4 linked regions of the Notamacropus eugenii genome follow. The protein of the gene in region 4 purifies or fractionates together with the protein of the main gene of each other region. This does not show direct contact. Links are inferred from orthologs where the notes say so. Each region holds a gene or a part of one and is shown on either strand. Other genes may lie near its edges. The genes, in order: YBX1, RPLP0, PHB1 and STAU1.

Region 1 (7,916 bases), on a different chromosome or scaffold from region 4:
AGCTGATGATTCTCAACTCTCCTTTTCCATCTCTAACCTCTCAAAGACCTGATCATTGAACGGAGGTCAGGATGAGACAGACAGATACACAAACATTGATGGCCCAGAGGGGAGAGAGATAGGTCTCAAAGCCCTGGGAGAGTGGGAGAAATGTGACAAGGAAGAGATCACTTGTGTATTTATGTGTCTGGGTATTGAGGAGTTATCAGGGAAGGCTCCAGAGGAGAAACTTCACCTTTAATTATCTCAATAGTCTCGAATATTCTTATTTATCCACTGACCTCTCTGCTGGCTTCCTATCTTGCATCTTAAACCTTCAGACATTTTGGAAATTGTATGTTCAGTAGATGTCTTAAACTCAACATGTCCAAGACAGAATTCATTATCTTTTCCTCTAAACCAGGGGTATGGAACTTGCAGCCTCAAGGCTATATGTGGCCTTCTAGGTCCTTAGGTTTGGCCTTTTGACTGAGTCCAATTTTTATGGAACAAATCCTTTTATTAAGAGAATTTGTTCTGTGACGTTTAGATTCAACCAAAGAGAACCACGTGTGACCTCGAGGTGGTAGGTTCCCCACCCCTGTCCTAAACCCTCCCTTCCAAACTAACCTGTTGCTACAAGAGCACCACCATCCTCAGTCCCTCAGACTTCCAACCTAGGAGTTATCCTGGACCCCTCACTGTCTCTCGCAGTCCTCCTCCCCTGCCATATCCAAGTTATTTCCAAGGCTTTTGGATTTCACCTTTGCAACCTCTCTTTGCATATGCATCCTTTTCTCTCCTCTGACACTGCTATCCCTTCTAGTGCAAGCCCTCATGCCAAGACTATTATCATAGCTGCTGGTGGGTCTGCCTGCCTCCAGTCTCTTCCCCACACCATCCCATCATCCATTCGGCCACTAACATGATTTTCCTATAACTCAGGTCTGATGATGTTACCTTCATACTCCACAAACTCCAGTGACTCCCTGTCATCTCCAGGATCAATTACAAAGTCCTCGGGTATTCCAAGTCCTTCCTAACCTCGCTCTCCCCCCCATTTTTCCAGTTTTCTATCTGCAATCCCCAAGTATTCTTTAGTCCAGTGACATTGACCTCCTGAATGTTCCTCAAACAAGACGCTCCATCTCTTAGCTCTGGGCATTTTCGCTGTGCCCAGAATGCTCTCTCCTCATGTCCACCGACAAGCCTTCCCTGCCTTCCTTTGAGCTCCAGCTAAAATCCCAACTGCTACAGGAAGCTTTTCTGAACCCTTCGTATTTGTGGCACCTTCTCACTATTTCCCATTTATCCTCAGATGTTGCTTGTTTACTACTTGTCTTTTCCAGTTACATTGTGAACTCCTTGAGGGCAGGTGACTGACTATCTTTTGCCTTTCTTTGTATCCCTAGAACTTGGCACAGTGCTTATTTTAATAAGCCCAGGCACTTAATGCTTATTGACGGACCTCAGTTGGGCCATGAAGGGACAGGAAGACTTTGGGCAACATAAGAACTGATGTTTCTGTATGCACTTCACATACATTATCATATCTGCGTGTCACCGTGGCCCTACTAGATTTTACAAGTATTAGGCCCACCTTACAGATAAAGAAACTGAAGTTCTATGACTGACCCATGATCCCAGAATAGTAAGTGTTGAAGTGGGTTTGGAACCTCAGTCCAGTGCTGTTTCTACCTGGTGAAAACTTTCACAAAGCAAGTCCTTTCCTTCTGTAGGAATCAGCTGCTTCCTCCGTCAAGAGCAAGGCTACTAGATGATCTCTCAGATACACTTTTTCTCTGGATCCTAGGAGCCTGTGGTAGCCTACTTGCTCTCTCTCTTCATGGGCCCTTGACCATTCTTACACTTAGGCTTATCTCCTATTTCAGGCTCATTAAAAAGGCCACACCTGCCAGACTGAACATGTCTGAGCCCTTGGGCCACTGGGCAGCTTACTGAGAGAAGGAATCCCTTATTTTTCCAATAATGAAAAAGCTCGCCAGAGGCAGAGGAGGTTCTGGTTGCTCTCAGTTGGCATCCGGAGTTGCTAGGAGAACAGAATTAATGCCTGCAGCACCTTGTTTTGAGGTACTGGAAGAACCAGAAGACAAGCAGCCTCTCTGATGATGCTGCCGGTCTGGGCAGATTCCCTTCCATTTACCTTTCTGCACCTGCCTCCAATTCTTGGAAATAATGTCTAGGTCGATATTGGGCCTGGGGTGGTGGGGATTTCATGTGAAAATACTGGTCCTGGGCACACCGGAGGTTGGGCATTTGTTCACCAAATAAATACTTGCTTGCCGGAGGTAGAATTCTAGAACATGTGGATGGGAAGGAAAGTCATCTGACCCTCTCCTTTGTTGTGCAAATGGGTAAACTGAAGTCCAGAACTAGGCAATGACTTTTCCTTCCATATATTTAATGAGGGACTGGACTTGAATCCAGGTCTCCTGCCTCCTGGAGCAGAATATTATACCAAACTGCCTTGCCACATAGTAAGAAGCCCTGAATCAAGGGTCTGCTCTTGGAGGTTATTTTGGGTTCAGGCCAGGCCTGCTGGTTGGATTAAGATCCAAGAGGGCTTAGCCAGACCTCACTTTGGGCATTATACAGTTCAAAGACAAATATTTTCAAAATTCTGAAGCAAGCGCAGCGATTTGGATCCTGACACAGGCCTAGCCTGTGCCCCAGATCCAGCCAGCCCCGCCCTGCAGTGCAAATAGCAGCCATTACCATGGGCAAGAGATGTTTGTTCTGCGTTTTACAAAGGCTGAAGGGCCACTTTTTAGCCCACTTTGCTGGGCTCCAGAATTCAAACTTGAACCTCCAGGGTTATTCCAAAGCGGTTAGAAGTGTGGAGGTAAGAAGGAACTGATCCCAGCAGTCTGCCTTGATTGAGTGATTGCTGGGTACATGGCCACCTGGGCGAAGGGAAGGGAAGGGTGGAGCCGTTCCTTTCGCTTTTCCTGCCCCTCCCACAGGATCTAACTCTGACTCCAGTCCTGGGGCTTTTTGCTAGAGTTTGCTGAAGTTCTCACCCTAAGCCCTGCAAAGTTTTAGCCCAATTCAGCTCTGCCTAACCCTAGGATTTCCCTCTGGCAGGAGTACTTCTATTATTTTCCCTACTCAGGCAGGTCACAGAGGTACCTGATAATAGTTGTTAATAACAGTTCGGGACTCTTAAAAAAGGACTCCCAACAACATACCTTATCCTATTTGTCACCCACTGCAGATAGCAGGGTCCCCATTTTGCAGATGAAGAAACTAAACTTAGAAAAGTTTGATTTGTCCAGAGGCTCATAGTGACTTAGCACAGGGCCAGGGTTGGGCCTTCCTCTTATGACTCCTAAGGTCAGTATCCTTTTCCACCACTTCATTTAGAGTTGGCCAGGTTCATCCCATCTGTTCAGAATTGTTTCCTTGCTTTGGCCTCCACAGAAGTCCGTGTTTCTCTTGTTTTAGGCTCCCTTTGCCCCAGTGATGCTTCTGAGAAGATGGGTTGGCCTTCCACCTTGCTTCCTTGGTTACTGCCTGCCTTTGTGATCAAGAGATAGGACCTGTCATGGATTCAGGACCCCAAGCCTTTCATTTTTAAATTTGCAACTGTAAATAAAGCTTGTGTTTTGGTTGTCTTTTTTTAAAAAAACTCTATCTAAGGTGAGCCTCAGTCTGTTCACTCTGGCTAAGCTAGACCTGCTGGGATGACTGTGGTTTCACCTCCTAGCTAGCATCTTTCTCTTTCCTAGGCAGTGCTGCACATAACTATGGAACATAGCTGAACTGAGGAAGGGGACAGCTGGTAGAAATGTGTGTTCCAGGCAGGTGGTCAGTTTTCTCCCATTCCTACTGCTTTTCTCCTGTTTGATCCTTTAGCTGAGGGACTATGACAATAATAGAGGAAGATTCAAGAGAGGAATGAATTCCAAAGGAATGTAGTAAGCTTAGGATTTTAGGAAGTTGTGTCAAGTATGCTGTTGTCCTCCGGACAAAGGAGGCAATTTCTCTGTATGCCTACCTTTAAGAGCAAGGAAAAGGGCCAGGGTCTGAGTAAAGAAGCTGCTGGTGATAGGATGAAAATTAGCTGGAATAGTTTGGGAGGCCTTGGCCTCAGCAGTCTGCAATAAAACAACCAGGTCAAAACTTGTGCGCTGGTCTCCTGCTGTACTTGGGGTACAGTAACTCACCAAATTACCAGCAGCTGACAGTGTCAGAGCTAGGGCAGTTAAAAGTCCCCTACCACCCCGCCTCACACCTGCCCTTCCAGCCCTCACAGGGGCAAGGAGCCTGCTTCCTTTCTATCCTCCATCGCACCAGTAGCACCTGCAGTGGCTAACCATGCCTTCTGGTCAGCGTGTGGGTTCCTATTTTCAAAAAGTAGGATCTAGATTTAAACCAGTAGGCCATTTGCAAATAAATTGGCCTTCAAAGTAATTACTTTGGTGACGTGTGCTTGCCTAGTCCTTCATCAAGGCTTCTCTTGCTCAAAACCTGTCTGGATCTCCAAGGATTGCCTTGGGGGCCAGTTTTTTGATGCACACAAAAATCCCTTTACGGACACATCTTGCGCATGAACAAAAAAGCCTTGCCCTGCCACGCCCCCCTCACCAGTTTTGCTGCCAGACAATTAGGGTTGGGGGCTGCAGGAGAAGGTCCACTATTCTATCTACAACACACTGGGGAGGGTGAGCTCACGACCCCAAGGGGCGGCGCTTTTATCTGCCGTTGACGATTAGGAAACTGCCCCCTTCCACCCGCCACTGCCCTCCCAGCCTCCTGCCAGGCTGGGCTAGGCTGAACAAATCCCGTTCCTGCACGTGACGGCCGAGAGGAAGGCGATCACTTTCCTCCTCATTCTGGCCATTATCAAAAATAAAGTTCATCGTAGGATTTCTCTCCACGATGTTCATCCCTATATCTGGGCATTTCCCTAATATAATTAAAGGAAAACTGCTGCCTGACGCTTAATAGGAAAGGGCTCAGCGTTGTTCGTGTCACAAGATAAATGGCCGAATTAGAAAAAGAAATAAAATCCACAATCGGGGGCCCCTGGGTGCCCGCAGCCGGCCATGTGGACCCCGGAGGCGGACGGCCGAGGTGTCATGTAGACAATTTTGCCCCCCCCCTCACTTCCGGGGATGGTGGGGCGTGAACCCGGAGCAACTCTCTCCCCTTTACCCTAGTCGATCCCGAGCGCTCTATGCCGGCCCAGTCAACCAACCTCGACCCAGCTCGCCGACCAGAGCGCTCGGGACTAGGCTGGGCTTGCACTACACCACGCTCCGAGTCACGTTCCCTCTGCCCGCCCTCTCGGGTACTCTATGGTTCAGCAGGGGCTTCACTCTAGTTCTAGTTCCGGTCTCGGTGGCGGCGGCGGCGGAGGCTGGAATTGCTAGTAAGTTGGACAAATTACACTTCCGAGAGCCAATGAGAGCGGGGGAGTGATGCGCCCCTAGCCAATGAGAGCTGGCGCTTCTGGTCAGGTGGCGGATTGATGGCATTTTGAGCCAATGAGCGGAGCATAAGGCGGGTCGCTCGGAGGGCTTATCCCGCCCGTCCCGCCATTCTCGCTAGTTCGATCGGTAGCGGGAGCGGAGAGCGGACCCCAGAGAGCCCTGAGAGCAGCCCCACCGCCGCCGCCGGCCTAGTCACCATCACACCCCGGGAGGAGCCGCCGCTGCCGCAGCAGGCCCCAGTCACCATCACCGCAACAATGAGCAGCGAGGCCGAGACCCAGCAGCCGCCCGCCGCCCCCCCCGCCGCCCCCGCCCTCAGCACCGCCGATACCAAGCCCGGCATCACCGGCAGCGGCGGAGGGAGCGGCGGTCCCGGCGGCCTCACATCGGCGGCGCCCGCCGGCGGGGACAAGAAGGTCATCGGTGAGGGGCATGGTCCGGGCCCGGCCAAGCCCGGGGCCGGTGGGGACGGTGGGGGGGGACCGTTAGCCGAGGGGGGTGCGGCGCGCGGCATGGATTCCGCGCGCTGCCGCCGCCCTCACCTCCTCCCCTTCCTCTCCCTCCCTCTGCGCGCGCCGGCCGAGTGTCCTCGTGCCCAGGGCGCCGCGCCCGCGCGCCGCCTCCCGCGCCCCCTATGGACCCCCGCGCGCCGCCGCCGCCGCCGCGCGCCCACCCGCCCGCCCCTCTCCCCTCGCGCGCTGGCCGCCGCGTGTGTAACGGTTTCCCGGCCTCGGGCCCTCCCGGGCGGCCACGCGCCCCACGGGCGAGCTGGCCAGCGCCGTGGTGCGGGTCCCCTCCCCTTCCTGCACGCTCTCCCTCCCTTCCGCGTGTAGACCGAGGGCGCGGTGCCCGCCCCTCCCGCCGCCGGCCTCCGCAGGCCGGGCGGGGGCCGGCGCGCGCCTTCCCCTCACGTGCTCGCAGGGCTCTTGCGGCCTTCCCGGCGGCTGCGCCCGGGTCCGGCGGCACCCCCCCGAAGGCCGCGGGCCGGGCGGCGGGGCTGGGGGGAGGGGCCGGGCCTCGGCGGGGCTCCGGGCATTTCTTTTGTAACCTTGGATTCCTTCTTTTTTTCTCCCAGCAACGAAGGTTTTGGGAACAGTAAAATGGTTCAATGTAAGAAACGGCTATGGTTTCATCAACAGGTGAGAGAAAGCTAGAGCCGCTCCGCCCTGCCCCCGCATGCGTCCTGGCCCACGCTTGCCACCCCTGACGCGGCCCGGGCCGTGGGTTCGAGTGGTCACTGCCGGGGACCGCAGAGCCGCGGGCCGGCAGCCTCGTGCGTGGGTGGTTTTGGTAACAGTTGTGTCTGAACACGGACTGTAGCAGTCCGACGTGTTCTCGGTTCGAGTGGTAAGTCGGTAGCGGTGGAGGAGCCCTCGCTGGAGGAGCTTGTCTCTTACTGTAGCACATGGAGCAGAATCCGCACAGTAGAAATCCCACCCAGTTGAAAATGTCAGAACCTCCTGAAAAGTCTTCCTGAAGGATTCCCCTTGTTCTGGTTCAAATAAATATGTTATCGTGATACATTTTTTTTTTTAATAACATAATCTTTGTGAGGATGGTGTTCAGAGACCTAACTAACATTGCATCCAATTAACCTTTTTGGAAGGGGGGTAGTCTTGGGTTTGTGGTGCAGTAACGTAGTGAATTACTACATATTATAGCAGGGTTCAGCTGTCTACATAATTTGGAGTAATTCAGATTGAGGCTAACCAAATTTAATATAAAATGTTTTTTCTTTAAAAAATTTTTAGCTTTTCCAGTTTATATTTGTTTTCCCTGTTGTAGCAGCGTACGTTGGTGCTCTTGTTCCCTTTCTTTGTCTGACTCTAGGACCAGCAGTAGGGTGAAATTACTAAGGAAAATGGCAAAATAACCATTTTTTCCAAAACTACAAATAATAGTCTTCTAACTTTTGCTAAATCTTCAACAACTGTAGAGCCTTTCTGATTCTGCAGCTTGGGGAAGTTGAGGCGTGGGCTATAGAATTTTGATTTGAGGTAATGTATTGTCCACTTAGTATACAAAGGTGAAGGAATTGACCTATTTGGGGACAGGAGCTAGGTGGCTCCTGGAGTCAGGAAGACAGTTAAAATCTGACCTGACATTTAATAGTTGAGTGATCCTGGACAAGTCACTTGACCCCTATTGGCCTTGTTTTCCTTATCTGCAAAAGGGAATACTAATGGCATGTGCCTCATAGAGTTACTACGAGGATGAACTGTGAGATCATTGTCAAGTCCTTATACAGTACTTGACACACACACACACACACACACATACATGTATACTTTATGTAAGATAAGCACTATATAAAATTTAGCTATTAATGTTGTTTTATTATTGCTATTAGTGTAGGATACCTCCCTTGAATTTTTTCTAGTAATGGAGGCAGCTATCATGTAGTAGAAAGGGAATGGATTCAAATGCCATCTGTGCTACTGTGTAGTAGTTTGTTTTGGAGGCCCATCTCCTTTCTAGATC
Region 2 (7,893 bases), on a different chromosome or scaffold from region 4:
CCCTTTTCTGTCCTGTTTCTCCCAGGATCTGAGTGGCAGAGACTGTTGCTAATGGTTGCCACAGTGGTACATGTTGAAACTTCGCTTTATCATGGTGATGTCATTTTGGTCCTCTTTGAGAACGGACAGCCACCACCAACCTCCCCAGTGCCTGGTATACAGCAGGCACTTAATAATTGCTTGTTGGGTTGAACTGAGATGGCATTCAGAAAGCAGCCCAAGTGGTCCCAACAAACTTGAAAGAGAAGCATGGGCGGAGAAATTCTCCTCAAAGAGACTGTATGAGGTTGAACATCCTGACTCTGGGATGCTTCTTCTGAGTGTTCTAGGGATTCTCAATTCTATTGGGGTCTAATTAAGTCCTGGGAGAGTTGGACAGCAGTGTGTTTTCAAGGGCAGAGCCAGCCCTCTGGGCAAAAAGGATTTCGCAGATTCCATGGGCTTTCGTTCCACTCTCTGTCCTGGTTGCTCTTGGTGCAGGAGATCGATGTGGCTACAACTTCTCTCTCTTTTTAAAAAAATATTTTTATAGATTTTTTTGTTTGTTTTTACATCACATTCATTTCCAAGTCTTTCTCTCCCACCCAGTGAATCATCCTTTGTGAGGAATATTTACAAAGAAAGAAAAAAAGTAGGCCAACAAAACCCAAACTGACCTTGTTTGGCAGCATAGTACATAGTTATATGTATAGACACCAAGGTCATCTGCTGCACCCCGGGCCATCGCCGCTCATCTTGACTTTCATCCTGCCATTGGACTTAGATGACTCTGGAAGAGAGATTGAAGCTCACGACTTTGTGCCGCTCTGTGTCACTTAAATCCAATTCACTTTGGAGTCAAGACATAACCCCATAATGCCATTGGTCCTCTTGGAACAACAGCAAATATGACCGTCGTGATGCCTTGTCTATAAATCACCCCTTTCCCAAGGCAGCCCAACCTCTTTGGATCAGCTCTAAGTGTCCGGCAAGTTCTCCCTGAGGTGCAGACACAATTCACCTGTTTGCATTGCTGTCCCATCTACTCTCCGCTGCCAAACAGCAAATCTAACCCTGCTCCAGCCAGGTCACACCAGCTTGGAATCAGTTGTCAAATTTTCAGTGTGAGTATTGACACAAAACTGGAGACCCATAAGACCTTCAAGTCAGGGCTTGATTTATTTTGGTGATTGCCTAGACTTAAGAAAGCAAAGGACGAAAGGTTAATAATGCCGATTGAATTGAAAAGCATTTCATGCATACGTGAAACATTATTTTCTGGAGAGCCACTTGTTAAACATTTACCAGCATACCCCTGCTTCCTTCATATGTCAGCCTTTGAGTTGTGTGACACTAGACGTCATGGGCCCCTTTCTCCAGAATAAATAACCTGGGTTCGTTGCTTCAGTAGATCCCCATTTGGCAGGTGCTGGACTCCTCCCTCCCCATGCAGCAACTTCCTCCTTCTTGGCATTTCCTCTGTTAGGAATGGGATGAGACACCCAAGAGTCAGAGCCTCCAGCCTCCCGGGAAGTTTGCAGGCAGCCACGAGTCTCGGCGGTTGTAGTTTTTTAAGTAACCATGTGACCTGGCTCTCCTGAGGCCAGGGGTTTCTAAATGGAGCGCATATTTATCTGATCCCTTAGGACCGAGGAAGTTCCTTAGACTGGTATTGCCCTTGGGAGATTTCCCTTGGTGTGGGAGTGAAAGAGAGAGTGACAAGAAAAGAATGGGGAGAGTGAGGCAATAAAAGAGAATAGAGGGCAAAGAGGAGGGAGGGAGGGAGAGAGAGAGAGAGAGAGAGAGAGAGAGAGAGAGAGAGAGAGAGAGAGAGAGAGAGAGAGGCAGAAAAAGAAAGAAAAGGGAGAAAGTGAAAGGGAGAAAGGGAAACAGAAAAAAGGGAAAGAGAGAAAAAGAAAGAAAGAAAAAAGGATGAGAAAGAGAAAGGGAGAAAGGAAGACAAATAAAGAGAAAGGGAGAAAGAGAAATAAAGAGAAAGGGAGAAAGAGAAATAAAGAGAAAGAGAAACAGAAAGACAAAGAAAAAGAAAAAAGGGAGTGAAAACGAAAGGGAAAAGGAAAACAGAAAAAAGGGAAAGAGAAAGAGACAAAGAGAAAGAAGAAGGAAAGGGGGAAAGGAAGAGAAAGAGAAAGAAAAGAGGTAGAGAAAGAGAAAGGGAGAAAGGAAGAGAAAGAGAAAGAAAAGGGAGAGAAAGAGAAAGGGAAGGGAAGAAAAACAAAGAGAAAGAGAAAGGGAGAAAGAGAAAGAGAAGCAGAAAGACAAAGAAAGAGAAAGAGAAAAGGGAGTGAAAGAGAAAGGGAAAAGGAAAAAAGGGAGAGAAAGGGAAAGGGAGAAAGAAAGAGAAAGAAAAAGAAAAAAGGGAGAGAAAGGGAAAGGGAGAAAGAAAGAGAAAGAAAAAGAAAAAAGGGAGAGAAAGGGAAAGGGAGAAAGAAAGAACTGGGAAATAAATGCTTGGGAAGTTGTTAAATTTGGGTTAAAGTCCTACTGTGTGCTAGCTGTGAGGGGGGTAGGGGGAGATACAAAAATAAAAAAAAATAGTTCCTATCCTTAAGAAACTTCCATTCTATGGAGTGAAAGAACATGTACTAGAAGAAGTTAATGGAAAATATATGCAAAGAATATACAGATTTCGGAAGGGAGAAGTCACCAATAACTGGGAGAAATCTGGAGGGGCTTCAAGTCGGAGGTGTTCAGTTAAACCTTGAAGGGAACTAGGATTTCTAGGAGCAAGAGCTGGAGAGAGGGAGAAGGGGTGAAGGAGGAGGAGGGGGAAGGGGAGAAGAAGGGGGAGGGCAAAGAGAAGGGGGAGGGGATGGAGAGTAGGAGGGGTTGAGGAGGAAACACTAACATGGATGGTGTGTGTGTGTGTGTGTGTGTGTGTGTGTGTGTGTGTGTGTGTGTGTGTGTATGTGTGTGTATGTGTGTTCGTCCTTCGTTGCCAAAGAAGACCATCAGAGAAATAAAGACATGACTTGCACCTGACTGCTTTGAGTGAGGGAGGGCTGTGCAGGTCACCAGCCTCACTTCTCTTCCAGAGCCATCTGAATCCAGTGACCAGATATTCATCAGGATGACTAGAGATGACCCAGGATGAGGCAATTGGGGTTAAGTGACTTGCCCAAGGTCACACAGCTAGTGAGTGTCAAGTGTCTGAGGTGAGATTTGAACTCAGGTCCTCCTGACTTCTGCACTGGTGCTCTATCCACTGCACCACCTAGCTGCCCCAGCATGGATGGGGTGTGAAAAGGAGAGACATGAAATTGGATGGAAAGATAGGTTCAAACCAGATTTTGAGTAATACCTTAAATGTTCACCCTGCATCTCATCTCCAGAATCAGTCGGCAGGTCCACTCCATTTCTAGCCTCCATCTAGTCTCTCCAGCTCATCCAGTCTCTAGCTTAATCCACCATCTTTCCTGTGGATTGTAGCAATAGTTTCCTGCGTCCAGGATCTCCCCTCTCCAAACTCCCTTGTTCAAGGACCAAAATCATATTCCTAAAGCTCAGATGTCACCATGTGACGCCCCTGCTCACAAAGCTTCAGATTCCCTACTACCAAAGCGGGGTACACTCCCTCTCCACCCAAGACTCTCAAAATCCTTTAAGATTTTTAACTCCAGGGTCACCTCCTACAAGAAGCCTTCCCTGATTCCCCTGCTGTTCATGTACTATCTACTCTCAAATTATATTTGTCTTTTTAAACGCCTTATCCTCTTCATGTAACACTAGGTCCTTCAGGGGAAGGGCTGGTTTTTTGTCTTTGTGCCCATCTGAAGGGGATAGGAATGAGACCTGTTATTTCCTTCCTTTAAAGAACCTCTGCATCTTATATATGCAATATATATAAGATATATATTATATATATCCTTCTCTTCTTTTACCTGATCCATCTCTACAAGATATTTATCGATCCTGCCTTAGACTCCCCTTCAGTAGGGGACCTCCTATTTAAGGAGAAGGTTTCAGGCCAACCATATCATTATTCTTTTCTTGGATGTTTGCTATCCAGTCCATAAGACTTTTTCCACCATTCCTTAGTCCTGAGTGACTTTTCCTTCCCCTCCATCCCTTTTAAACAAATTATTTTCAATTCCTGGAAAAAACCAAGCATTTCCATAAGACGGTATGATAAAAAAGATGATTGCAAGTGAAACTGAAAATAAATAATTTAATGGATATTTGCCTACAGGATCAAATCCTTTCCCAATCCAGCTGCCTCCTCCCTTTTCCAGTCCCCCCCTGCACTCTTGGATCCTCCATCCCTCTGTCTCTGGGCTCTGGGTATTCTCTCCGGTCATCCCCCAGCCTGCCCTCCACCTTTCATGGGAAGCTTTCCCCAGCCCCTGGGAGCTCTCTGGCCTTCCTATTTATCCTATAGGTGGTTTGAGGGCAGGGACTGTCTCTTTTTGTATCCTCAGTGCCTGGTACTGTAGGCACTTAATAAATGCTGATTAGAACTGAACGGACTGATTTACCCAGGGCCACAGTCACCATGCCAATCAAGGGAAATGAACCCAGGACTTGCCTGAGGCCAAGGCTCTATCCTCATGACCTGATCCAGCTTCTTTCATGAACGTACCAAGCTCTTAAAGAATGCTTTTTAATTCATTTTCACTTTATTCAAGCCCAGTGCCTGGTATACAGCAGGCGCTTAATAAAGCTAGGAGGTAGCTTTGCTTTTTTGCACAGTCTCTCTGAGTAGCACCGAGGGAGTGCCTGGAGATCCCAGGCCGGGCCAGCAGGGGGCGCCAACGGATTTTTGCTTCTCTTTTTCTGAGATGCGGGAGACTCTTCTTGAGAAGAGGCCCACCCCACACCGAGCGGCCGCCCTAACGTCCAATGGAGGCCTAGATCGCTCCCCGCTCTCCGCACGGGCGGCGACGTCCGCCAATGGGAGCGAGCTTCGTGCGCGGGCGCAGTTTGGCTGCGCCGCTCGCTATAAAAGGCCCGCGGAGGCGTGCGGCCGCTCTCTCCCCAGGCGTCCTCGTGCAAGGTGGGTGCTATGGCGGCTGTGGGTCCACGGCAGGCGGAGGGCCTCGGCCGGGGGCCTGGATTTTACCGAGGGAGGTGCCGGAGCCCGGGCCCGGCTGGGGCAGCCCCACGTCGGGGGAGTCACGGAGGCCCGAGAGGCCGCGGGCCGGGGCCTGCGGGGCCAGCGTGGGAGGGCGGGGGGAGAGGGGACGTGGCCGCCCGGCCTAGCCAGCGCTGCCGTGGGGGGCGGGGAAGCGGGCCTTCTCCGGGCCTTGAGCCCGCTGGAGTGGAGGCGAGGGGCGCGTGTCCGCGTCCGTGTCCGTGTCCGCGTCCGTGGGGGCGGGGAAGCGGGCCTTCTCCGGGCCTTGAGCCCGCTGGAGTGGAGGCGAGGGGCGCGTGTCCGCGTCCGTGTCCGTGGGGGCGCCGGGGTGGGGGCGGGGCCCTCCGTGACCGACCCTGCTTCCTTCGCAGAGACATCGTCTTTAAACCCCGCGTGGCAATCCCTGAAGCACCGCCGAGATGCCCAGGGAAGACAGGGCTACCTGGAAGTCCAATTACTTCCTGAAGATCATCGTAAGTCACGCGCGGGCTCAAATAATAAGTGAGGAAAGCTTAGGAAGCGAGGTTCTCCCCAGGGACGGCCCGGAGTGGACACGGACTCGCGTGTATCTTGTGGGTTTGTCCAGATCGCGATTGTGGCCGTGTCACCAACACAAAATTGTGCTTCAGTCCAGCCTTATGTTAGTTTAGATGTGCGTGTTCTCTGCCCACTTGAAAGCTGCGTGGAAGCCGTGGGAGGAGGCAGCCCTGGTTAGGAACAAACTGCATTTTCTGGCGTATTTTAAGAGGCTCTTTTAGCTTTCCTGACAGGTTACTTTTGATTTTTAAGGTCACTTAACTTGGAATTTACGTCCAGACAAGTTTAACTGTTGACCATTCGTTTTGACAGGAGATGGTTGTCAGGGAGTTTTTGGTGGGCACCAGTAAGTTTTTAAAAAGGAAATCATTTGGGTAGTTCAGAAGCTAACTCTTTAGTAGTAAGATGTAATTCTGAATTGATTGCTTGTGTCCCATTTCCTCTCGATATAAAAGCGATCATGAGTGGTCCCCTGGGATCTGGACAAGGCGTTTTGGCGGTGTTTTACGTCCTCGGTGCTAGGATATCAGAATTACTTGGGGCCATCTCCATTTGGCCTGACAGCTGGACAAAGGTGGCTCTGGAGGAAAGAATGAGGCTGGCGACTTTGCACAGCTCTCTCTCTCCCTTAAATCCAGTTCACTTGTAAGTTGTGACATCGCCTTTAGTCTTCTGAAACAAAGGACGAACACGACCAACCAATAATCAGAGTTAGAAGAGACCTGGAAATGATGCGGTAGAGGGAGCCCCAGATGTGTGAAGATTTGTGAGATCTGAGTTTCAATTAAGTTTCTGCTCCTTAATACCTTGTGACTGAGGATCTGAATCTTTTCTTTCTTCGTATCTGACCTTTAACATCTATTTTTGGTGCTTGCTTTATAGCAACTTTTGGATGATTATCCAAAATGCTTCATTGTGGGAGCAGACAATGTGGGCTCCAAGCAGATGCAGCAGATTCGGATGTCCCTCCGTGGAAAGGCCGTCGTATTGATGGGAAAGAACACCATGATGCGCAAAGCCATTCGTGGTCATCTGGAGAACAACCCTGCCTTGGAGAAGTAAGTGCAGTGTCTTGGGGGTGCTCTCTTTATTTCTTACTTTACGAGGCCAAGGTGAGGGTGAGCTAACTGGAGTGACTTTTCTTTCAGGCTGCTGCCTCATATTCGGGGGAATGTGGGCTTTGTGTTCACCAAGGAGGATCTGACTGAGATTAGGGATATGCTTCTGGCCAATAAGGTGCCAGCTGCTGCCCGTGCTGGTGCCATTGCCCCATGTGATGTCACTGTGCCCGCCCAGAACACTGGTCTGGGTCCCGAGAAGACTTCCTTCTTCCAGGCTCTGGGTATCACCACCAAGATTTCCAGGGGCACCATTGAAATCTTGGTGAGTGTAGTTGGCTGTATGGGTATTAATAATCCCCTTTTGAATACTTAGCTGTGGAGCTGTGGGACTGTGGTTCAGTCTCGGAAGCCTCCTGAACCCTAAGGGTGGATGGTGCTAAATACTTAGAGACACACCTGGGTCAGGGGATGTTGGGAAGATCCAGGGCGAGCCCAGTGCGCTCTTTCAGCTCATCCTGATGTTCGCTGCTGGTATTAGTCTGAGGCATCCTGGGCATCCTTGCTGCCTCTGGGCTGACTTTTTTCTTGTTTTTTCAGAGTGATGTGCAGCTCATTAAGACTGGAGACAAAGTGGGTGCCAGTGAGGCCACTTTGTTGAATATGCTGAACATTTCCCCGTTCTCCTTTGGGCTGATCATTCAGCAAGTGTTTGACAATGGCAGCATCTACAACCCTGAAGTGCTGGACATCACGGAGGAGACTTTGCACCTTCGGTTCTTAGAGGTGGGAGCTGATGGGCTGGGTACTATTCTCATGAGGGGTTTGAATGGAAGCTGGTTGACTTTATGAATGTAAAGATGGGAAGCCAACAGGGTCATTGGGATGGGAGGCTGCAAAGCGTGATGGGAATTCTGCTGAACTGAAGATAGTTGGCCCTGGGACTGGTGTGTGTCCAGAGAGGTGACTTCTACCTGTCCAAAGTTTAGGGTAGGCTGCAGAACTGGCACCCCAGCAGCAGAAGAGTGAACATGCTTCTACCATGTCTGATCCCATGGGGCTCTAGAAAGTCAGGATTGCCACCAGATAATCACATCTCTTTGTCCACAGGGTGTCCGTAATGTTGCCAGCGTCTGTCTGCAGATTGGCTACCCAACTGTTGCATCAGTACCCCACTCAATCATCAATGGGTACAAGCGAGTCTTGGCTGTAGCTGTGGAGACGGAA
Region 3 (6,907 bases), on a different chromosome or scaffold from region 4:
GGGGGAGGGAAGGGAGGGATGCCTTTGCATTTAAGTTGACTTGGCATAACTGAATACCATTTGTGACAATGGGCGTTGATTGTTTCTTGACCATTCTTTCCCACCCCTCTCTACTGCACCACGCCACCACCACTCCCCCTGTCACCTGCCCCCCCTCCCCCCACCAAATGAAGACTCATAGAATGTTACAGCTAAAAGGAACCTTTGAGATATGTGGTAGAGAAGGAAAGACACCCAAAGCCCAAAGACAACAGGGAGGAGAAGACCTCAGAAAGCTATTCCCATTGCTAACCACTCCACACTCTACTCCCAAGAGATACTTTTCCCCAACCAGTCCACTTGAGGACACTGGTTCCCCCTTGTGGTAATCTTCTGAATTATTATTTTTCCAACCCTATCTTGGATCCCAAGGCCCTGGGGTAAAGACCTATGTCAAGAGTGAGAAACCTGCCATCTCAAGGTCAAATGTGGCCCTCTAGGCCCCCAAGTGTGACCCTGTGACTGAATCCAGAATTCACAGAACAAATCCCCTTAATAAAAGGATTTGTTCTGTAAAACTTGTATTCAGTCAAAAAGCTACACCTGAGGCCTAGAAAGCCACATGTGACCTCAAGGCCGCAGGTTCCCCACCCCTGAATTTACTGCTAGTCCCATAAATCAAGTTTTCCTGTCTTCAGCTCTTTGACTCCCCCTGTACACCATCTATCTCTGCATGAGGTGGTTACCCATGCTGTGGCAGGAACAAAAAAACCAGAAAGTGTCAGAATTTCAAAGTTGGAAAAGACCTTGAAGCCCATTCTGTGCAAACCAGATGTGAAAAAAGGAAACTCTACAACATATTTGAGAAAGTCATCTGGCTTTTGCTTAAAGACCTCAAGGGAGGGTGAACCCACTTCTTCCTGGGTCAGACATTTGCAATTTTGGATCATATAATACTTGCAAAATTTTTCTTTGCATCAAGCCTAAAGTTATCCTCTGCAAGTTCCATTTTTCGCTTCTACTTCTGTCCTGGGTCCAAGCAGAAGTCTTTTTTCTTCCATATGACATCCCCTGAAAACTTGAAGACAGCTATCATGTCCCCTTCACCTCCACCCCAAGTCTTGTCTCCTCCAAGTTAAACAGTTTCAGTTCTTTCACCCTATGCTATTATGTGGTATGAACCCAGAGCACAGTGCCTGGCACACAGTAGGTATTTAATAAATGTTTATTGATCGACTGACTTATTGATGAACTCAAGTCCCGTTGCCATTTTCATTACCCTCTTCTAAACATATCAATCTATCAATGTCCTTCCAAACACATGATATCTGGAAAGAAATGTAATATGTCACATCAGGGGTTCTTTACCTTTTTTGTGTATTGTGGATCTCTTCGGCAGTCTGGTGAAACTTAGGGACTCCTTCTGAGGAAGTTTTTAAATGAATAAAATAAAACACACAGGATTGCAAATAAATCCAATTGTAGTGAAAACAAAGATGTATTTTTTTTCCCTGAAGTTGATGGACTCCACATTCAGAGTCCCTATTCTAAGAGATCTCCCTAGTCCTGGGCACTGTATGCTGCCTCACATCACATAAGCTTGGCCACCATATCACACTTGCAATATACAGCAGCTTGCAGTCCACTAAAACCCCCAGATCATGTTCAAACTGTTGTCTAGTCAAGTCTTGGTTTATTTGTGTACAGAGAGACGCCTGAAGCCTTGTGTTTAAGAGCTGGTTCCCTCCTTGGGTTTTTGCATGCCATAAATTTCTGGGCATCTTTCCCATTATTATTCTTTTTTTCCCTACACTGTCATTGAGCTCTATGGTAAATAGCTTGAGCAGATATATGTAGGCAGGTTTGGCTCCTCCTCCTTCCTTTTCAGTTTAAAGCCCTTTGATTAGATTTGCAATATTCCAGACACATTATTTTTTTTAATTGCTTTTCCAATTACATGTAAAAATAATTTTTAACATTTAAAAAAAGTTTTAGTTCCAAATGCTCTCCTCTCCTTCTTCCTCTTTCTCTTCATTGAGAAGGCAAACAATTTGATACAGGTTATACATGTGCAGTCATGCAAAACATATTTCCGTATCAGTTATGTTATCAAATCTATCTCTTTTTAAGTCCTTGCCTTCAATTGGTAGCAAGGATGAAAACGCCACCTATGCTCCTAAGACCTTCAATTTCTTGTCCCAAACTACAAAAACTTTAAAAATGCCTTCCAAGATTCCTTTAACAATATTATTTGGTGGCAGATGGGTGACAAAGTGGATAGAGTGCTGCCTTGGGGTCAAGAAGATGAGTTCAAACCCAGCCTCAGAAACTTAGCCATGTGACCCTGGGCAAGTCAATTTAATCTGTTTGCCTCAGTTTCCTCATCTGGAAAATGAGATAATAATAGCACATACCTCCTAGGGCTGTTGTGAAGATCAAATGAAATAATAATTTTAGAGCGCTAGCATAGTACCTGACACGTAGTAAGCACCATATAAATGGCAGCTGCTACAATTGTTTTTGTTATTATTGGCACCCACTAGGGTCATCAAAAGTGGGTAGTAATTACCTGGTTTGACACATCCTGTCTCAAGTCTATGCCCCAGGAAAATGACAAACTTCTGTTGTCATTACCAGTTTCATAAACAGCCCCTCAGTGAGTCCCCTCAGTGGAGGGGCACCCACCAGCACTACTCATCTCTTCTTCCTCGGACCCTCACCAAAGGCTCCCTCAACCGACCTCCTTCACAATATCCTTCCTAGAAATGGCTCGCAGCTCCCTGCCCTCCAGGAAGAGTCTCAAGACCGTTCAGGGGTCCTTCTTCTTCCCTTTTTCTCTATGTTACCATTTTTTTCTTCTTCCACCTCCTGACATAGGTCAGAATTCCCTCCTAACTATTTAGATCTTTCTTCTGTGCTTTCACATTGAAGGTCTTCTGAGTGGTCGACTTTTTCCATTTGTTTTAAACACTTTATCCTCCCTGATAGACTCCAGAGAGAAGAAGCATCCTCAGAGTGCCTTCACCTTCTCTTCCAGGAGGAGACCAGCCATCTGGCCTTTGGGGAAATACATCCAGCACACCACCAGATCCTCCCCTGCTCTGGAGCCTTGCTAGAACTGCAGTCTTCAGCGCTGAGCCCTCCTGGTGGCAAGCTCCTGGCGCAGCCTGCGGCTCCCAACGTGGGACCCGCTTTCCCTCTTTTGCGCCCAGATAGCCAGCTGGCCCGTAACTGACCTGGCCTTTATCTTGCCGTAACAACGTGTTTTACTCACTGGTCTATCTTAACTTATCTTACAGACTTCCTCCCTCAGCTCACACTCCATGCTTCTGCACATACACGAGACGGTAAAGCGCAGGAAGGTCCTCAGGCCCACCCAGGAATGCCTTTGAAACTCTTTATGCGCATGGCCAAAGAATACTACAACTCCACTGCTTCGGACTTAAGGTTCGCAGAAGCATTTGACCCCCACTACCCAAGCAAGGTGGACAGCATGAGGGGCCGCTAGGTGGCGTGGTACAGTACTGGGCCTGAGTCATCTTCCTGAGTTTACATCCAGCCTCAAACACTTACTAGCTGTGTGACCCTGGGCAAGTCATTCAACTCGGTTTGCCTCAGTTTCCTTCTCTGTAAAATGAGCTGGAGAAAGAAATGGCAAACCACTCCAATACCTTTGCCTAAAAAATCCCAAATGGTGTCACGAAAGGTTGGACACAACCAAAACGAGTCCGAAACAGCCCAGAGGTTACCTTCCCCTAAGGCAAGGACGCAGTAGACGCTTCCGGCGGCACGTGTAGTCATTCCAGGTGAACTACAACCCCAGCAGCCTTTGGGGCCAACTTCAACCGTCCAATAGAAAAGGATTTTCTTCACCAGCTTAAAAGCAGCGAGGCATACCGGGAGTTGTAGTTCCCTCTCATTAGAAGAATAGGGGCTCAGGACCAGTCTTGAACCACCAATCCCAGAAGGCGCCACTTTCCTATTAGCCAACAGGAGGAAAGGTCCTTCAGGAGGGGGCGGTGAAGGGAAGGCGAGACCCGACGCAGGCGCAGTAAGTAGGGTTGGGGAATTCATGTGGAGGTCAGAGTTGTGTCTGGTGAGCTAAGGGTTTGGGCCTTTGATAACTGTGTTGTCGTGCCCCACTCTCGCGCGTTCCCGTGGGATATTGAGGGGAGGGGGCTCGAGGAAAAGAGGAGGTAGTTGAGGAAGGAGAGGAGAGTAGAGGAGCTGAGAGCCAGAATGAGAGGAAGTGTGAAGAGTCTGAGGGAGGGAAAGAGTAGAGGAGGAGGCTGGGGGCGGGGAGGAATGGAGCGGGCAGACTGAGAGAGGGAAAGAGCAAGAATGGAGGGGGAGGGAAAGAGAAAAAATGGAGGGAGGAGGCTGAGAGAGGGAAAGATTGGAGGGGAGAGGGAGAGAGCAAGAATGGAGGGGGGAAGCTGAGGGAGGGAAAGAATGGAGGGGGAGGCTGAGAGGGAAAGAGCAAGAATGGAGGGGGGAGGCCAAGCTTAGTGTGATAATGGGGAAGATGGGAAAAAGGAAATGGTAGAGACATGGGAGTGGAAGGGGACTCCTAGGAGGCAACTAGAATTTGAAGGTTGGTAACCTAGTGTTAGTGAAAAAGACTTGAATTCTGAATCAGGCATAGCTTGAATCCTTTGGTTCTCAGTTAACTTATCTGTAAATGAGGAATTGAAGTTACTTTTGTCTTCGAGGTGTTTTTAGATGTACCGATTCAGAGTGGATAGAAAGGTTTCAAAGCCAGGACGATCATCTTTAAATTCTTTCTCTGATACATGCTGGCTTGTGTCCCTGGACCAGTCACCTAATTTCCCAGTGCTCTAGGCAAGTTGCAGAGAAGGTGCCAACCTGCATTGCTGGAAGTTTCCTTACACTATACCAGGCATTCTTGAACTTGCCATCCAAGGGTAATTTTACACAGGGTCTGTGAGCTTGAATAAGAAAAAAAATTTACATCTTTATTTTCATTAATCTCAAACTGAAATTTTATCATTTTCTTTTATTATGAATGTAGGCAATGAACATTTTGACCCATGGGCTTTACCAGATTTCCAAAAGGGTCCATTATATTAAAAAGAACCGTTGCTTATTACACTGGAGTTATAGGTCCTGTCTTATCCTTGTGCCCTATAGTTAGAAAATGTGTGCTCTTAACCCATGGAAGGGAGGGAGTTATATAGTATTGAGGGGAGGAAAAAAATGAGATGATCTCTACAGTTAAGTGAGATTTCTGGTTTCTGAGGTCTAGTTAATTTCTTTTGATCTCTGAGAAACTTTCCTAGCTTTCCAAGAATCTATTCCTACTTCTCACTTTTCCCCCCATGCTCCACTGTCATGCTGGCATCCATCCAGAGGACTTTTCTGTCCAGTCTTTCCTTTCTCTAATAACATGACATTCTCCATAGAGGAAAATGGTGTTGATAGCCCTACAGTCAGCATGGCATTGCACATTGATCTTCTCTTTTTAAAATACTGGAATGGTTTTTGATGAATTCCCCATACTCTCACCCCATCCCCACTGTGACCACTAGAATCTGTTTTTGATTTGTCAAGGAGGAAGGAACTTTAACAGTGTGAAGTTAAATGGTGTTGAAGACCAGCCCCATGACTGACCGTAGGTGTACGATGCCCTTCCTAGTGAACTACCTTTCCCAAACCAATCTCAGCCCCTACCCCTGTCATCAAGTGTTTGTAACTGAACATGAAAGCAGAGGAACCATAATTCATGGAATTTTTAAGGCTTTCTAGGGTGTTAACCTGTTTAGCTAAGGATGAGCAGAACCTTCAAGAAGATAGAAATCTTACCCTGATTAGAAGATGAATTCAGTGGTTGGGAATGAGTTTTCACTAGGGAATGTATGGGCCAGGCTAGCCTTTTGTTTTCTCCCTTTAGGTCTGAGAGAGCAGAAGACCAAGACCATCTGAAGGAGACATGGCTGCTAAGCTGTTTGAAGCTGTTGGCAAGTTTGGCCTGGGCTTAGCTGTTGTAGGAGGAGTTGTCAACTCTGCTTTATATAATGGTGAGGGCAGTCTCCCGACTCATACTAAGGGTTCCTGTTGTCCAATGTAACACTCCTGGTAGTAATCACTATCTATGAAAGTGGTTGTTTAATAAGACCACCTTTCCCATGCTGTGTATACCCACTGTTATGTTGGGGTTTGTTGCTGTTTAAAAAGACGTTGTACAACTTTTTAGACTTTTGTTCTTTGCACCCCTTGTTTACAGATGTCCCTGTCTTTGATGTTGCTACATTTTAAAAATCATGCTCTTCAGGAGTTAAAAGTATTTAATCAAGATAACTAACAGATATCACCGCCCTTCTACCTTGGGTGGAATGTCTCCGTAGGTGTCCCATGTAGTTTGGAACGGGGCGGGGGCCCTGTTAGATCCCCCAATTTGCAGTCAGGAAGCAGCAGAAAAGCATCCTTCTGGGTTTGCAGCTATAGGAATGAGGGAAGTTCTTCATGGCAACAGTGAGGTTTAAGTAGACATGCAAACACCTGTGGTTTCCAACAGTGTCAGAGGGCAACTTCCAAATGCCTGGGACGGTTTCTTTTGTGGTCCAGTAGCCACATCTATACACATGGATGGCATTCCTCACTAGACATGGTCTTTGATTTATGAGCATGGATATGTTGCTTTCCCAATAAGGCTTTGAGAAAAACAAGGCATGAGAAAATTAGAAGTGGAGGTTCTGAATTTCAGAGTTACCATCAAGAGTGCTGCTTTAACTGATGCTACACCTGAAAAGCATTCAGTTAAGTTGAAAGTGTGGCATATGACCCAGGTGGAGACTTTTTTTTTTTTTTTGGCAAATGTGGATTATGTGTTCCTGGAAATAGGCTCAAGGGAGCAAGGGAGAGAGTGGTTAATCACAAAATCAGCAATTTCATCTTCCAAGGAGAAATG
Region 4 (6,888 bases):
AGTTTTGTCAGTTCTACTTCCACTCACACATTCTCTCCACTCACATGACCATCAATTTAGTTTTTAGCACTAATCATCTCTCTGCTTCTAATTGTTCTCCATGTCTCCAATCTAGTCTCTCTCTCATGTCTCCTCCTTATAGCTGCCAAAATAATGTTCCCAAAGCACAGGTCTGACTAGGTCACTTTTCCTTGAGCAGGAAGTTTCATAAATTCCCTAACACCTCTGGGACAAAATGCAAATTCTTTTGTTTGACATTTAAAACCCTTCACAATCTAGACATCTCAATTACTTTTCCCTCCTCCTCATTCTCCACCGGCTACACAGTGTTCTGACCCACTTGGACTTCTTTATCACGCCATAATGCCCCAGGAACCTCATATGTAATTGGGAAATCTCATTATCTTGCAAAATCAAATTAGCCCTGGTATTTGCATCTCTTCAGTGCCATCTGCCCCTCTGACTGGAAGATGGAGCTAAAAGCTCCAAAAACACTCTTTTGAAAGAGGACCCAGGGCAATCAGTTCCTAATTTCCTACCAACAGCTCTGCTTTTGGATTTCACTGGTCTTCTCCATTATGCCCTCGAGCTTGGTACCTCCTTTCACCCTTTTTTGCTTATAAATACATCATTATATTATCCTATTTTCTTTTTTGAATTGTTATTGATATCGGGTTTTTACATCACCTTCATTTTCAAATATATCCCTCACCTCTGCCCTCTCCTAAGAGTTATCCCTTCTAACAAGGAATAAGACCAAAAAAAAAGCATTGCAACAAAACTAAGCAACACATTGACCAAGAGCTGCCAAAGTGATTTTCCTAAAGCGTAAGTTTGACCGTCTTGTGTCAATTCTTCATGACCCCATTTGGGATTTTCTTGGCAAAGACACTGGAGTGGTTTGCCATTTCCTTCTCCAGCTGATTTTACAGATAAGGAACCAAGGCAAAAAGGGTTAAGTGACTTTCCCAGGGTCACACAGCCAGCAAGTGTCTAAGTTTAGATTTGGCACTCTATTCACTCTGCCACCTAACTGCCCGACCATGTTACTCTACTTCTTAGTAAACTCTAGTGGCTTCCTATTGCTTCAAAGAAGAAATAAAATACTTTGGCATTTAAAGCACTTCACAATCTGGACCCAGCCTACTTTTCCAGGCTTATTATACATTTACTCCATTTCACGCACTCTACAATCCAACTAAACTGGCCTTCTTTCTACTCCTCATACACAAAACTTCAACACTACTCTGTCTCATTGTAACTGCTCTCCCTTACACCTTAGAATCTTTCCCCACATCTTAGAATGCCTAGAATCCTTTAAGATACAGGATCCCTCTAGATTTTTGGTGCCTTCCCCCTCTCCCAAAATTATCTTTCTCTATTTACATATATACTTGTTGTCTTTCCCTCATGCCAGACAAGGTCCTTGAGGGCAAGGACGGTTTCACTTTTTCTTTGTATTTCCACCATTTGGTATGTAGAATACATTTGTTAATTGACTGACAGAATATTAATTGTTACATATCCACAATTCCCCACCTCTGAAAAGAAGTGACAGAGACGCATTTTCCCATCTCTTTTGTAATGACCAGGTCTGATCATTACTATTAGTTTTAAATCTGGGGATTTATTTTGTCCTGTCTATTGTAGTCACTGTATACATTATTTTTCTGGTGTTTACTTCCTTTTGTGTCAGTTCATATATATCTTTCCATGCCTACCTATTACTAAATATTAATATCATCAGTTACAGATATTATTAACATTAACTAATAATTCTATAACATAATTAATATACTATTTATGTTGAATAATAATCATATTTATTTTATGGTGCACATGTTCCATTACATTCAATTTCCCAAACAATAAGCATCTATTTTGCTCCCAATTCTTAGCTATTGCCTAAAAGTGTTGGCATGGATATTTTGATGTGTTTAGGACCTTTCTATCTTGATTTCCTTGGGTATATACCTAGCAGTAGAATCTCTGGATAAAAGTCTATGAACATTTTAGACATTTTCATTGAATTATTCCAAATTACTCTGCTGTAACAGCAATATACAAAACAAAATATAATTTAAGTCCCACAAAAATACCATATAGCTTAAGTACCAAATGTTTCTTTTTAAACAAAAACAAAAGGTTTTTGTGATGTGGGAAACAATGGAAGAACTATGTGTTTTTGACACAACAAAAGTTTGAAAATCCTGAAATCAAACAAACAAAACAAGAATAGAAAATTGTGTCATTCCTGAGGCATCAGAAATTACCCAGGGTTCTCAATTAGATATCAGAGTAGAGCTTTTATTTATTAGAGTGTCAGCCAGGTCAGCCAATTCAAAGTAGGATCTACATCATTGAATTTGAATATTACTTGACTGTTTCCTCTTGACATCCAATTTAAATGTAATTAACATGAATTTACTGAGGATCTACCATAGCACTATGCCAAATATGCCACTTTCTGTGTGTTGTTGTGTTTGTCCTTTGTTCTGAAAGAGTACCATGACATCAAGATGATGACATGACTTGTAGTTAACTGTGATTTAAGTGAGGGAAGGCTGTGTGAGACCTTTCCTGGTCCCCTACCTTTCCCCTCAAGATTACCTTGAATTTGTCTTATATATGTGTTTTGTACACATAAAATGTATGGTTTCGTACATATATTTATATTGTCTCCAGGTTAAAATGTAAGCTCCTTGAGGGAAGAGACTGTTTCGATGTTTTTGCATCCCTAGCACCTAGTACACTGCCTGGTACATCCTTAGTATTTAATAAACGCTTGTTGACTGACTGCTATGATGAGAAATGATAAATCATATTCTTTACACTATAAAAATGGATTTTAATAAGTACGATTCTTAGCACGTGAAAGTAGTGAGGTAGGCCACTCATGTACTTAGAGTGAGGGAATAACCCAAGTGTTGCAACAGAATCCCGAAATACAAAAATCACCAACACAGAAGAAACATCCATAGCGTATTGGATAGATCCTTTAGGGAGGAATTATGGGAAGATATGTCCCAGAAACATGTAGAGGTGTTAAGAATGGAGATAGCCTATTTCACTTTCTATAAAAAATACAAAGGAGAGCATATGAAAAAAAGATGAGTGTAAATTGAAAAGTGAAAGTATGAAGCTAGAAACAACAATGTTGGAGAATAATAATTTCAGGGTGTGCTGCTGGAAAACCTAGGTTAAATACAGACTAAGTTAAAGTTGGTACAAACTATAGAGCATATTTATTTAACTTGCTTTTTTTTGGAGGACTGAAGGATTCTGCATATAAAGTCATCTATGATGTTAACTCCTGCTTCTCTATTTGGAGGAAAAAGGAAGGAAAGAAGGAAGGAAGAGGAGGAATTAAGGAAAGAGGAAGGAAGGAAGGAAAGAAGGAAGAAAGGGCCCTTTGGGATGGATCCTAGAGGCCGCCAGCGTTACCTGGGGGGTGAGAATGTGTGCCACCGAAGACCATGAGAAGGATGGTTATACCCATACATGTTGGCTGAGGTCTAAGTGAATGACACCAACCTGTTCCTGGACATTCTATCGGAGGTAACCCCTGCCTCTGCTTTTAAAAGGCTGTCACTTCCTGCCCGCTGTCCCTGAATTTGGGCCTGTGCATCCTGCGGGAACTACATCTCCCATCAGTCGAGAGCAAGAAGGGGTAGGTTAGGATAGCCCCCAGCAAAGGACCACACCTCAGCTTGATCGCGAAAGACAATTTTGATTCCCGACGTGGAGGGTAGTGGGTAGGGTTTCATGCAGTGCCTGCTGGGAATTGTAGTCTCCGTAGCAGGAGCTGCGCTGAACCTGCCGGGAATTGTAGTTTCAGTAATGGGGGGAGGGGATTGGGGAAGGAGGGGGGTCGGGCCCTGTCCCTCCCCCCCCGTCACTTCCTGCCTGGCTGCGGGAGCCCGAGCGGCTCATTCTCTTTAGTGTTTGCCCTGTGGCCGCAGCGTCTGGCTCGGCTTCCCCCTCCCTCCCTCCCCGATCCCCGGCGCCCGCCCCCCCACAGGCCATTCCGCCTCCCCTCCCCTCCTCACAACCACCGCCTAACCGATCCTTCGTCGGGGGACGAGTCCCGGGAATCCAGGTGAGGCGCTTCGGCCCAGCCCGTTGCAGCTTGGGGGAGGGCCTGGTGGGTGAGGGAGAGGCGGAGGGGACGGGAGACAGCTCCCCTGAGCCACCCCGGCCTAGCTCGGCCTGAGGAGGCGAGGCAACCGGCCGCTTCCAGCGTGCCTCGGCCGACAGGGCTGGGGACACCAGGCCGCTGAAGGAGTCAGCTTCCCTCCCCGGCCGGAGTGGGGAGGGGCTGCCGCCACCCCCTCCCCCAGGAAAGGCCTCAGTCCCTCCGCCCTCCTCGGGGCGGGGATCAGGCCTATTCTGGGAGAAGAGCCCTCAGCCTTCTCCTCCTGCCGCTGCCCCTCGCCGTCCTCCCGGGGTATGGGGGCTCGGGAGGCGCCGGTTCCTCCGCCGCCCCTTCTCCATCCTTGGTCTTTTTCTGCTTGATGCCCTTCCCCGCCTTTTCCCCAGAGGAACGGTGTTTGCTGCAGCCCCCGTCTCGCTGGGGACCCATGTCTGCTCCCCCCCAGCAGGCCCCTTCCTCCCTCTGCACCTTCTCGGCCTGAGGGACGTGCAACAGCCTTTTTAACCTGTTCTTTGCCACGGAGGGGAAGACCAGGCCCTTTTTAAGGCAGGAGCCCCTCGTAAGCTCCTCTCTTCCGGATTTTGCACACACACACTCCCCCCCCCCCCCAAACCCTAGCCCAGTTCTAAGGCTAGAGTGTTTATCTCTGAATGCCTAAAGAAATTTATTCTGACCCTTTCCCCTACTCCGCTGCCTGCCAGATTGTCCATGGAATGTTCGTTGAATTGTTGAAACTCCAGCAGTTTTTTATTGTTCTATGTCCCAATCTTCATTATCCTAAGGGAGAGGATAGACTGGTTCTGGGTTGTTTTTTTTAATCCTCCGAGCTTTCCTATATCAAATATGCCTTTCGTATTAGGGAGGAAGTTAGGTATGGTTCTGGTTCCTTGAAAGGAAGGAAACAGTAGTGGTATCAAACAAAGTTCTGAGCTGCCGCCCTCATACACCTGTGCACTTGGGGGAGAAATGCATTTTTCTGCAGGCAGTTGTGTTGAGGAGAAGACTATTTCAGTTTAAACTTATCCATGGCAACTGATGTGGATGTGAGAAATTCATCATCCCTCCGGTAGAAAGTATGTGGAACCAGCTGGTTATCATTTGGGGCCACAACCTGTAAGAGAAAGGTAATATTGCCATCCCGTATTTAGTAAGTAAATAGATTCAGTGGCTTATTTCCTTCCTTGTCCTTACTCCAAATTGCCTCGTCTTCTACTGTAATATAATCCAAACCTCTAACACCATACCTTTTTGCCAGCTCCTCTGCCCTCGTTTACTGATGCCTATTATAAGTCTGTGCACTTACCCATGTGGCAATATCATTCGTGTATGTAAGAGAATCTCTTCTATAAGGCCAAATATGTATGGCAGCCCAGTCATCTGTGGGTTTTTCTGGCAATGGGAAAAGCTTTAAGGTTTCAGGGACTTTGTTGTTTTTCTGTATGCTGTCGGATTGTCTTGATTGTTGTGAGTCTGCAGGAGAAAACTGATTTTAAGTTGTTCGTGTTATCTCTAGGTAATCAAAGTGAGATAAATTATACTAAGAGTTATTGAAAGTTAAAGTGGCTGGATTGCAGAGAGTAATTTTAGAGTTGACAGGTGAGATTTTAGTGTAGTAGGTTCATTTGTGCATGCTGAGTTTATTTTTAATTCAGAAGTTAAGTATACTGGTATATCTTGTACTAAGCAAACTGGATTGTGAAAACCCTGATTTACAGAAAAGATTAGGCAATACTTGTTTGTTCTATTAAAAAGTTCTTTTATATTATTTAAATTATTTAAATAGAATCCCTTAATTAAAATATTTGATTTACACATCACCTTAGAAACATCTTTTGCTTAATTTTATGAAGTTAGTACGTTGGACACTTGCCTATTATAGTTTGATACATTTATAAAGTCTTGTTATCCATTTCAATGTATTTTAAAATCGCTGTAAGTTTCCGAAGTGTTTAAACTATGAATCAGACAAATTACCTGTTGCCTTTTGTAAAGTGCACTGCTGCCACAAACAGCATTTTAAAATTGTATTTTAAAATTGATTTGGAATATAACTAATTTTTCCCAAGCTGTTATTCTCTCTAAAGTTACTCATTTTTATAATGAATGTATAAAGTTATCTTTTAGTTAGTAATTTGCAGTTGGTAATTATTTTATTTTGTGGGGTAAAAATTATTGTAATATACATTTTTATAGCCAAAATGGAGGTTTTGGTGAATTACATGTGAGGCAGGATTTAGATCATTTTTTTTTTTAAGATTACAAGCTATATTATTTGCGTATGAAACAGCAGTTTTTTCTTTGTGATACTAGTTTAAAAAAAAAATCAAACGTTGGATTTTTTCTTCCTGGTCTAATGGACATTTGTTAAACTATCTTTAATGGAAAATAACTTTTTGTGTCAAAGTTAAACTATGGTTAATAAGTTATGTGATGAAAAACTTTAAAAGGTTCTTTACTGTGGTTGTGCAAATATGCTGATGTAATTTTAGGTTAAGAATTAAGGAAAGAATATTCTGATTAGAAACTTTAAATTCTACTCTGGAGGATTTTTTTTTTTAAAAAAAAGCCTCATTACCCACTATACTTTTTAATAGTAAATTTAGTAATTTTGAAACCTTCTTGATTTTAGTAGACATGTAATACCAACGTAGCTATAGATGACAAGCAAATACTGCCCTCTGTAATTTTAAAAGATATTTATGTCATTTAGGGAAGTTGTTAAGAAACATATTTAA

What was found.
Region 1: the proteins of STAU1 (region 4) and YBX1 purify together in Homo sapiens (affinity purification with mass spectrometry; 3 studies listed by BioGRID and IntAct, with this or other methods). This does not show direct contact. The link is inferred for Notamacropus eugenii from reciprocal best matches to the Homo sapiens genes STAU1 and YBX1.
Region 2: the proteins of STAU1 (region 4) and RPLP0 purify together in Homo sapiens (affinity purification with mass spectrometry; 4 studies listed by BioGRID and IntAct, with this or other methods). This does not show direct contact. The link is inferred for Notamacropus eugenii from reciprocal best matches to the Homo sapiens genes STAU1 and RPLP0.
Region 3: the proteins of STAU1 (region 4) and PHB1 purify together in Homo sapiens (affinity purification with mass spectrometry; 3 studies listed by BioGRID). This does not show direct contact. The link is inferred for Notamacropus eugenii from reciprocal best matches to the Homo sapiens genes STAU1 and PHB1.

What each region holds. Positions count from the first base shown.
Region 1 is NC_092876.1:74,521,955-74,529,870, reverse strand, and holds the start of YBX1 (Y-box-binding protein 1), read left to right. Parts: upstream 1-4,910; 5' UTR 4,911-5,692; coding exon 5,693-5,858; intron 5,859-6,510; coding exon 6,511-6,574; intron 6,575-7,916. UniProt on the Homo sapiens protein: DNA- and RNA-binding protein involved in various processes, such as translational repression, RNA stabilization, mRNA splicing, DNA repair and transcription regulation.
Region 2 is NC_092875.1:25,063,812-25,071,704, forward strand, and holds the start of RPLP0 (large ribosomal subunit protein uL10), read left to right. Parts: upstream 1-4,876; 5' UTR 4,877-4,993; intron 4,994-5,442; 5' UTR 5,443-5,490; coding exon 5,491-5,544; intron 5,545-6,490; coding exon 6,491-6,666; intron 6,667-6,756; coding exon 6,757-6,991; intron 6,992-7,266; coding exon 7,267-7,452; intron 7,453-7,776; coding exon 7,777-7,893.
Region 3 is NC_092873.1:351,425,164-351,432,070, forward strand, and holds the start of PHB1 (prohibitin 1), read left to right. Parts: upstream 1-3,897; 5' UTR 3,898-4,030; exon of another isoform or gene 4,031-4,075; intron 4,076-5,890; 5' UTR 5,891-5,929; coding exon 5,930-6,017; intron 6,018-6,907.
Region 4 is NC_092872.1:517,876,273-517,883,160, forward strand, and holds the start of STAU1 (double-stranded RNA-binding protein Staufen homolog 1), read left to right. Parts: upstream 1-3,880; 5' UTR 3,881-4,099; intron 4,100-4,385; exon of another isoform or gene 4,386-5,277; intron 5,278-6,888. UniProt on the Homo sapiens protein: Binds double-stranded RNA (regardless of the sequence) and tubulin.